3 linked regions of the Danio rerio genome follow. The protein of the gene in region 1 interacts with the protein of each later gene in a pairwise test. Links are inferred from orthologs where the notes say so. Each region holds a gene or a part of one and is shown in the gene's direction. Other genes may lie near its edges.

Evidence for each region.
Region 2: the proteins of atxn3 (region 1) and arhgap19 interact in binary tests that used the Homo sapiens proteins (3 or more experiments, as listed by UniProt). The link is inferred for Danio rerio from reciprocal best matches to the Homo sapiens genes ATXN3 and ARHGAP19.
Region 3: the proteins of atxn3 (region 1) and rad23b interact in a two-hybrid assay, tested with the Homo sapiens proteins (2 studies listed by BioGRID and IntAct). The link is inferred for Danio rerio from reciprocal best matches to the Homo sapiens genes ATXN3 and RAD23B.

Annotation. Positions count from the first base shown.
Region 1 is NC_133192.1:59,465,512-59,469,642, forward strand, and holds the start of atxn3 (ataxin-3), read left to right. Parts: upstream 1-1,250; 5' UTR 1,251-1,268; coding exon of another isoform or gene 1,269-1,292; 5' UTR 1,293-1,602; coding exon 1,603-1,635; intron 1,636-2,029; coding exon 2,030-2,194; intron 2,195-2,283; coding exon 2,284-2,328; intron 2,329-3,350; coding exon 3,351-3,436; intron 3,437-3,531; coding exon 3,532-3,598; intron 3,599-3,694; coding exon 3,695-3,782; intron 3,783-3,880; coding exon 3,881-4,001; intron 4,002-4,131. UniProt on the Homo sapiens protein: Deubiquitinating enzyme involved in protein homeostasis maintenance, transcription, cytoskeleton regulation, myogenesis and degradation of misfolded chaperone substrates.
Region 2 is NC_133197.1:36,976,189-36,979,846, reverse strand, and holds part of arhgap19 (rho GTPase-activating protein 19), read left to right. Parts: intron 1-1,646; coding exon 1,647-1,727; intron 1,728-2,102; coding exon 2,103-2,312; intron 2,313-3,658. UniProt on the Homo sapiens protein: GTPase activator for the Rho-type GTPases by converting them to an inactive GDP-bound state.
Region 3 is NC_133196.1:575,795-578,331, reverse strand, and holds part of rad23b (UV excision repair protein RAD23 homolog B), read left to right. Parts: intron 1-387; coding exon 388-544; intron 545-674; coding exon 675-802; intron 803-1,037; coding exon 1,038-1,193; intron 1,194-2,537. UniProt on the Homo sapiens protein: Multiubiquitin chain receptor involved in modulation of proteasomal degradation. Binds to polyubiquitin chains.

The DNA of each region.
Region 1 (4,131 bases):
TGTATGCTCTGCAGAAACTGCTTTACTTACTCAGAGTTTCTGTCTTGTGTTTGGTCCAAATATCTTTCAATTCTTTAAGAAAGAAGCATTCTCTAGACCAGCACAGCATATTAAAATCACCAGTCCAGCGCACCTGAAATATAAGTGAAAAAGCCTCTATTGAGATGACTATTGCTGTAAAACAGCAGGATTGTGCAGCGCACTTGTGAAAGTCAGTATTTCAATGGTAATAAAGGCTTTTAAACTTTTATCCTCCTCCTCGAATGCCTTGGAGGTCTGATCTTTTAGAAATCTTTAGATATTTGGACCAGAAACAAGATTAAAAACTCTAAGAAGATCATTTTTGCAGTGTAGAAATGAACTGAAATGGTTCTGAAGTGTTGTGTTGGATCAAGACATCGAGAGCCCCTCTCTCTGTGGACATAAACTGTCCTCTGTGTGGTTCGGATCAATGCAGTGTCCAGAACCCCTTCAGACGCTCCAGATTTCTGCTTCTGGATGACTGATTGACTGATTGACTACACGTGTTGAGCGCTGTGGCAGATGTCTGACAGACTCCACTGCTGCAGGATCTGTTTTATTTTAAGATGTTTCTCTCTGCCTCACGGGTCTGCATGTGTTTCCAGGCTCAGGCTCCATCTTTAAACACTCCCTCATTCACATTAACACGCGTGTGTTGGGGTTCACAGTAGCCGTTTTCAAGCTTCCTATAATGTGTTGAGCAGAGAAACTGGCGTGAATGCAGCTGAGCAGATGACACACACACATCACTGAGCAGATGACACACACACACATCACTGAGATGTCTGTTTGATGTTTGTGCTTACACAAATCTACTAGACATCAGTAAAAAGTCATTTGTGTCTTGAAGTGAATATTTTCAAAGTTCTCAAAAGTGTGAATACTTTAAAAAACATTAAATAATCGAATTACCTCATTTAAAACAAATAAGTTCTGCGTTTAATCAGGATCTGTCCACATGAGGTGTAGCGCAGCGCGCCACTGGGCGGCGTTCCTGATGTTTTGATTCGTCACGTGACAAGCAGAACGGTTAGAAAGTAACATCAGTAAATGTCCTGCTAAATTATTTATATCGACTAAACGTGTAATTCAATTGATAGTGTATCGGAGATCTTAATCTGTCGATTTTAAACGCAGCCTTGCCGCAGTTTTTATTCAAAGAGCGCTTGTTTTTAGGTGACTCTTATTCTGACATGTTTTGACGCGTCGCTGTTTCCGTCAGTTCCGTCATTCACACACTTTCAAACATGGAGTCTATATTCCACGAAAAAGTAAGAATCGCTTTCAGATAATGCTGTGTATGAGTGATGTGTAGATGATCTGGGAGAGCTTCTCCTGCAGGAGGGCAGATCTGTCGAGTTCAGTCTGCTGCTCCGGCTTGATATCTCTGAGGCGCTCGTGGACTTTTATCGAGTGTCAACATCCGACACGGGCAGACAGACAGTCCAGCACATGTGTGTTTACCGCCAGAGCGGCTCCTCTTCACTGCTGCACTCCGCCACACAGCGCTGTAGAGGAGGACACTGAGCCTGTAGACTGAGGGAGTGCTGGAGAGTGTGTCTGAGCTGAAGGAAACACGACATGAGCAGAGTTTACACGACGAGGATGATATGTGTGTGTGTGGTGTGTGTGTGTGTGTGTGTGTGTGTGGTGTGTGTGTGTGTGTGTGTGTGTGTGTGTGTGTGTGTGTGTGTGTGTTGTGAAAGAGTTTGTGAGTGAGTGAAACAAAGAAAGAAATGTAGAGTCTGAGTGAGAGTGTGTGTGTAAGAGAGCAAGAAAGTGTGTGTTTATGTTTGTTGACAAAGAGTGTGTAGTGTATGTGTGAAACAGATTTTGTGTGTGTGTGTGTGTGTGTGTTACAGTAGGAGTACTCTGTGCAGCATGATGATGATGATGATGATGATCATGGTGTGTGTGTGTGTTACAGCAGGAGGATGATGATGATGATGATGATGATGATGTTGATGTTGTTGTGTGTTTACTGTGTGTATGTGTGTGTGTGTTACAGCAGGAGGGCTCTCTGTGCGCGCAGCACTGCCTGAATAACCTGCTGCAGGGCGAGTACTTCAGCCCGGTGGAGCTCTCCTCTATAGCACAGCAGCTGGACGAGGAGGAGCGCATGCGCATGGCGGAGGGAGGAGTGCAGACGGAGGAGTACCGCACATTCCTGCAGGTACACACTCACACACACACACACACACACACACACTCACACACAGAGCTCAGGGTCTCAGTGTAACCTGCTGTGTTCTGTGTGTGCAGCAGCCGTCAGGGAACATGGACGACAGCGGCTTCTTCTCCATCCAGGTCAGTCATAGTTACCCGTTACTCCTCACAAACACTACAACAACAAATCAGACAAAGCTGCTGGGACAGACGGAAAACACGAACCCTCTGCTGTCATTCAGACTGCAGAAACAGGGCGGTGATCAGGTGATCTGCTGGATGATGATGTGATGTCCACAGGTGATGGTGATGGTGATCTGCTCATCAGGAAAGCTCTAGTGCTTTAGGAGCAGAGATGAGTCGAGGATCTCCAGTTTGAGCACAGATATGAGAGAATATGAGTGAAGTGTGTGAACACAATGATCCTCAGAGGAAGACATGTGGAGATTTCACCTTCAGCAGTGCAGAACAGCATTAAAGACTGAAGGAGTCTGGAGGAAGCCCTATGTTAACAGTGTCCAGCAGCGCTTCTCTAGGCTCTGGGCGTCTGGGATGGAGCATCACACAGTGGAGACGTGTCCTGTGCTCAGATGAAGCAGAGTTTCAGGTGTTTCTGGGAGAAATGGACGCCGTGTGCTCCAGACCACAGAAGAAGAGGATCATCCAGACTGACACCAGCAGCAGGCCGGCTCTGTCATGGTCTGGGGTTGTGTCGGTGCTCTGGGCAGAGGTGACCTGCTCTTCTGTGATGCTCCAGTAATGCTGAACAGCACAGAGAGATTCTGGACCCGCATTACAGAGTCCTGCTGCGGAGGAAGAGGAGACAGACACTGGACTGGCCTGCCTGCAGCCCCGACCTGTCTCCAATAGAGAATGTGTGGCATGAAGAGCCCGTACTGTTGCCCACATTAAGACTGGTTTGTCTTTAGTGCATAAACAGCTTACCAGTGTGGTGAAGAGGAACAGCAGCAGCAGCAGCAGCACACACTGCTGAACGCTTCACTGACACGGCTCACTCTGACATGTGCTGCAGAAACCAACACTGGAATACGTGGAAAACAAACGATGATGATGATGATGATGAACACATGAATTAAATGTTTATAGAGACCTGTGTGTGTTTGTGTGTGTGTGTGTGTGTGTGTGTGTGTGTGTGTGTGCAGGTGATCAGCAATGCTCTGGGTGTGTGGGGTCTGGAGATCGTCCTCTTCAACAGCAGAGAGTACCAGCAGCTGCAGATGGACCCCATGTGAGTGTGTGAGCGCTGTATCCTCTATGTGTGTGTGTGTGTGTGTGTGTGTGTGTCTCCTCTGCACACACTCATCCTCCTCTGCTGTCTTTCAGGCATGAGAAGGCCTTCATCTGCAACTATAAGGAGCACTGGTTCACCGTGCGCAAGCTGGGACAGCAGGTGTGTGTGTGTGTGTGTGTGTGTGTGTTCAGGGTCAGAAAGGTGTGTGTTTGTTGACTCTTTCTTTCTCTCTCTGTGTGTTTGTGTGTGTGTCAGTGGTTTAACCTGAACTCTCTGCTGACGGGTCCGGAGCTGATCTCAGACACATACCTGGCCCTGTTCCTCGCACAGCTGCAGCAGGAGGGTAACACTCATTATCGTGTGTGTGTGTGTGTGTGTGTGTGTGTGTGTGTGTGTGTGTGTGTGTGTGTCCGCTTCAGCGCTGCTCTTGTCCTCCTGCAGGTTACTCTATATTTGTGATTCGGGGGAATCTGCCGGAGTGTGAAGCGGATCAGATCCTGCGCATCATGAGGGTGGAGCAGCAGCAGCGGCCCAAGCTGATCGGAGAGGAGGAGACGCAGAGGTACACACACACACACACACACACACACACACACACACACACACACACACACACACACACACACACACACTGGAGTCTCCATAATTGAGCACTGCAGCTGATTGTGTGTGTGTGTGTGTGTGTGTGTATA
Region 2 (3,658 bases), on another chromosome or scaffold:
CACTCATTCACACACATGCACTGTCCTATTGAATTTATCCAGTTCACCTACAGCTCATCTGTATTTGGACTTTTGGGGGAAACCTGAACACCCGGAGGAAACGCACGCCAACATGGGGAGAACATGCAAACTCCACACAGAAATGCCAACTAACCTAGTTGAGGCTAGAACCAGTGATCTTGTTACTGTGTGGCAATCGTGCTACCCACTGCGCCACCATGATGCCTGTTCTTTTTCATTTTAAGCAAAAACAACAATACATACAGCGGGGATAATAGGTATTGAACACGTCATGTTTTTTCCTGTGAATAATATTTCTAAAGGAGCTGTTGACATGGAATTGAAGCAGATTTTGGAAAAAAAACAAACAAACAAATCTGAAAAATTAGCTACGTGTAATAACTATGGAACGATACAAGGAGAAAGTACTGAACTACTGAAATGTATTTAATTAAAGGTACTTTGCTGGGGTGTGTTTTGGATCATTGTCTTGCTGAAATGTCCACCCTGGTTTCATCTTCATCCTCCTGCTAATGAAGATGTTGGACTGAAGCAGCTGATATTCATTTACACTCAGGAAGGGCAGCGGGTTGCTGAAGAACTACTGAGATATTCGGTTGCTGTCTGGGCTTTCACTGCTCAACCACACCTCCCTTTCTTCATGTGTTCAATACTTTTTACCGGCATCATTTCTTTTTATTACACATATTTTCATTTGTAAATTAATTAGATTTGTTTTCTTTGCATATATGGATTTTTTGGTTGCTATCAACATCTGGGGAAAATTTCAAGTCAACAGCACCTTTGGAAATATGTTTTCTGAGAAAGAACATGGCCAATACTTATTTTCTTTGCTGTATATTGAAGTTTGGGTCCCACTTTATATTAAGTGACCTTAACTAATATGTACTTACATAGGATTTAATAGTTTGTTACAATGTACTTATTGTGTAAATACATGTATTCTTATGGTTGATTGAATACATGTATGTAATAACTTTTGTAATTACATTTGTAAATTCACTGTTGACCATCCCTTACACCTCAACACACCTTTACACCTACCCAAACCACCAAACCTGTCCATAACCCAACCTCTATCTCAAGTCAAAAGCACCACAAGTGTTCTGAAATACATTTTAAACACAGTAAGTACATTGTATTAATTTTTTTTATGTAAGTGCATTGTAGTTAGGGACACTTAATATAAAGTGGGACTGAAGTTTTTTTTTTTCATTGCACATTTATTTACTTGTTTGTCCTACTCTGCTGAGCTTCTCTAATTGTGCTTAAGACAAAACTTGTTTAAACTACTTAAAAAAATGTTTCTATTCTAGTAAGTTCAAGGTGTTTTTCTTCACACCAATTGTGATGAGTTTTTGCACCTGAATAGAAACATTCTGATGTCAAATTTGGTGTGTATTTAGCCAAAATAAAAACAGAGGATTTTATACAGCAAATATTGCCTTCCAGTTTCCTGTTCATGGTTAAAATGTAGAACAATAGTATATGTGCACATTTAAAACAAATCTATCCCTATTAAATGATTCTTTGGCAAGCAGAATAAAACATAAGCATTTAATGTATTAGAGAAAAGATGCATTCTTTTGGAAGAGGCGGTGACTGTTTGTCGTATTTATTTTCAGACAAAGGTGTTGTGTTCGGCATGCCCCTCACAGAAGAAGGAATAGCCCAGATATATCAGCTCATCGCTTACCTCAGCAAAAGTAAGTGCATGATATTAATAAAGTTGATGGCTTTATTATACAGTTCACCCAAAAAATGTACATTCTGTCCTCATTTACTCCTCCATTTGTTCAAAACTCCTTTGAGTTTTCTTATGTTGAACACAAAAGATGTAAAAAAAAATTGTGGGTTGCTGTTTCCCCTACCTTATGAGTTGTTGAACTCTTCCAAATATCTTCTTCTGTGTTTAATAGAAGAAAGAAAATTCAAACAGGTTAAAAATTAGTCAAGAATAAGTAAATGAATGGGTGAACTATTGCTTAAAATACACTAAAACATTGGAAGATTGACAAGTATTTGAATCTTTATGGTAAGGACACTGTTAAGAGGTGCTTGAACAGGTTGTTTTCCTGTAGATCTCCATGTGCAGGGTCTGTTTCGAGTTCCTGGGAACAGTCTGAGGCAGCAGACGCTGAGGGAGCAGCTCAACAGTGGAGCCGATATTGATTTCGCCGCTGGTGACTTTCATCCCAATGACGTGGCCACGCTCCTCAAGAGTTTCTTGGGAGAATTGCCGGAGCCCCTGCTGACCCACCGCCACCTGCACGCCCACCTGAAGATCACAGGTTCATCATCCACACTTCATGCTGTGCCTTCTACATCATTAGCTGCATTTCTGTTCCTCTTGCATTAGATAAAACTTACAGTGATCTCTGCTGAGACCATGTTCACATGTACATGGGTGTTAAAAAAAAGAAAGATAATCTCCATCAGGCCCGTATTGGCTAATCGGGAGAACCGGGAAAGTTCCCGGTGGGCCGGTCCGTTTTTTGGCCGCGAGGGCCAGTGTCCCTAGCTGCTTGCACTCTCAGCAGTTGCACTTTTTTAATTTATTTGTTTATTTGACCATAACCTCACTCTTTTTAATCATTATTTTGCCGCAGCTCCGCTCTTTTTATTTATTTTCTCGCAGCCCCGTGAGCTAAATGCAGCCCGCAGGTTAATGATGATCATCATTAACCTGCGGGCTGCACCCCATTCCACCCCAAACAGCGGCACCTTAGTGAATATTAATGAATATTACACCTGCTTAATGAAAATCAGATGATTTACTACATTAATAAATCTAACTTTTAATCTTAACATAACTTGATCAGAAATCTAAAATGGGGAAAAAAGAGCAGGGTAAAAACGGAGTAGACATCAATAGGAGCAGATAACATTCAGTGTTTAACAGTGCCATCGTGGTCTAGTGGTTAGCACGTTACGCATTGACGCAGCCGACCCGAGTTCGAACCTCACCAGAGTAAAATATGTTTTTTTTTCAGTGTTAAGACATAAAATACTGTTTGGGTTACTTATGTAGGAATACATTTTTTTTTTGTGTGACGACTGTTACAAAGGATTGGATATCTATATAGAATTAATGTTCTCATATTTATGAAAAACATTTGAAATTCTAAAGCAGCTGTGTCCTTGAAAAAGACATGTTAGTGTCATTTGAAACTGAATTGGAAATGACGTAATTTTAATATTGTCAGTCGTCGACTGAGGTTGACCGGTCTAAGGCTTGAAACTCCAGAGCTAAAAAGGAGTCCTACTCCGGCCCTGATCTCCATCCACATGAAAATGCAGAAATTCATTGTGATGCATTCACTGGGGGGTAATATGGTATACAGTGGGGTCTTCAAATAGCAAAGGGATCAGTTTTGATACCATTATACTGAAAACAATGCACTTATATAAGAGACAAGGATCAAATAGAATTTATTTAATACCTAAAAATGGGTAGCCGTGGTTGTCATCAAAGAATAACGCGGAGGAGAAGGATAGAGCTAGGGAAAGATGGCGAGTCATGCACCAAGTGACCTGGTCTTGAAAAAAGAACACAACTTCTGCAGTTTGGCAGTGTTTCGGGTTTTGGCCGAATGAGAAGGGAGAGGCGGCAAATACGGCAACTTGCAAATTGTGC
Region 3 (2,537 bases), on another chromosome or scaffold:
TAACCGTACCGAACTGTTGTTAAAAGAGCAGCTATTGAAATTGATGACATGACATTGATTAAACTATGGACAAAGGCTGATTGTGACATCTTGATGAATCTCTCTGCTTTACTTAAATCTATGTTATCTGCAATATGTTCTTCCATTTGGAAAGATATTTCATTTACACCTCTACAGTTGCAGCTCTAAGTCGTGCTGGTATACATTTTTTTAAGGTATTAAAAAGGTAGTAAAAGGTATTCAATTCAACTTGAGAAATTCTGTGTAAATCCAGTATTGAACGGTTCTGTTCAGTGGTTCACATATACTTAAGCATGTGTTGATGAACAGAATAATAACCTCAGAGCGTAATATTGAGTGTGTGTGTGTGTGTGTGTGTGTGTTCAGGGTATCCCAGCGGAGGGTGAGGGCAGTGTTGTGGGTGCAGTGGATGCAGTGTCTCCCTCAGGGAGCACTCCAGCTTCAGCTCCAGCTCCTGCTATATCCACAGGTCTCTCCTCTCCGTCCAGCACAGCTCCAGCACAGCCCAGCTCAGCATCCGGAGGTCTGACACTCGCACACAGACCCCATAATACCAGCTCTGTCAGGGCTCACACAGTAGCCACTCAGTCTAATTGCATTACTGTTTGTGTGCGTGTGTGTGTGTGTGTGTGTGTGTGTGTGTGTGTGTGTAGCGAACCCTCTGGAGTTCCTGAGGAACCAGCCGCAGTTCCTGCAGATGAGGCAGATCATCCAGCAGAACCCGTCACTGCTCCCGGCTCTACTGCAGCAGATCGGCAGGGAAAACCCACAGCTCCTGCAGGTGCTCAATACATACTCACAGAGACACACATACTTACACTCGCACATACTCACTCATGCATGCATATATATATTTTTTTTTTTATTCCAGCTAGTGTGTGTGTATAATCATTAGCTTAGCTATGTCTTGACAGATCGTGAGGTCAGATCCTAATGAATGTGAAGTACACGTAATTAAGGTTTTCAATATGCGAGGTGTGCGATCTGTCCTCAGAAATGTGTTTCCTGTTTAACAGCAAATCAGCAGCCACCAGGAGCAGTTCATCCAGATGCTGAATGAGCCAGTGCAGGAGGCGGGACAAGGGGGTGGGGCAGGGGGTGTGGCTGAGGCTGGGGGTGGGCACATGAACTACATCCAAGTCACACCCCAGGAGAAAGAAGCTATTGAGCGGGTAAAACGACACTGACAGTCACAGTGCAGCATTTCTTATTCTTTATTATTCGCCCTCATTTTAATTAAGTATTAAAGATGTTTGAACACTCATCTGTATTTAATTTTACATGTTTACAACACAAAATTTAAAGCAAATTTAAAAATACTCAAAATGCTAAAGAGATGAGTTATTAGAAATTATTTAAAAAGGAAAATATAAATAAACAGTTTGTTAAAAGCATTGGTTAAATATATTTGAACTAAAATCAATATGTCTTCAGATGTATTTATTTAATTTATTTTACAAGAAACAACAAAGTTATAAAATACTCAAATACAAAAGAAGTTGGTCATTAGAAATTAATTATTAAAGTTTTGTAAAAATATTATTTTTACAAAGTAAAAGTAAATATTAGTTTTCTTTCAACATTTTTAATTGTTTAAAATACTAAAGTTTTCTTTGACTGTATTTAATTCACTTTTACAGCAAATTAAAAGCTACTAAAAATGTGTTTAATTGTTGATAAATCTCTTTTAAACAGCACCTTAAAAATATTAAACAATTAAATTAATTAAAATTTTGCCTTGGACTGTAATCAATATATTGATATTATTTAATAAGATAATATCTTTAACAAGAAACGGCAAAATAAAAAATACTCTCTAAATTAAAAATATTATATCGATTTTTTAAACTACTTTTAATAACTAATCTCTAAGTATTAAAATAATGTAATAATTTAGCCTTCTAACTATATTTAAACTATATTTAATTTAATTGTATTCATTTTTAAAACAAGAAAAGACTAACAAAAACATACTCAAAATACAGTTTTATGTTCAATTGAGACATTTATTGTTTATTATTATTGATTTAATAAAAACAAAAAACAAAAATACTCAAATAATACAAAATAAAATAATTACATTACAAAATAAAATATATAGTTGAACCTATTATAAAGATTTTGTTTAAACATTTATTAAAATAATTTACATTTTTTGCCTTCAGCTGTATTTAATTTAATTTTATTCATTTTTGCTACATGAAACCACAAAAAGAGACTCAAAAATACTAAAGTTATTGTTTAAAGTTAAAATATCTTAAATGTTACCTGAAATTAAATAATTAATTTATATTTTGCCTTTGTTGTTTAATATGTTTTACAACAAGATGCAGCAAACTAAAATACCCTCAAAAAACAGGTTAGTCATTGAAAATGATGAAATTAGAATTTTTTTACAACATTTTTAAACAATAACTAATTTCTAAAGTATTAAGAGTTTCATTTAGCCTTTAGCTATACTGAGTTTAATTGTATTAATTTAAAACAAGAAACAAAAACTCAAAATACAGTTTTGC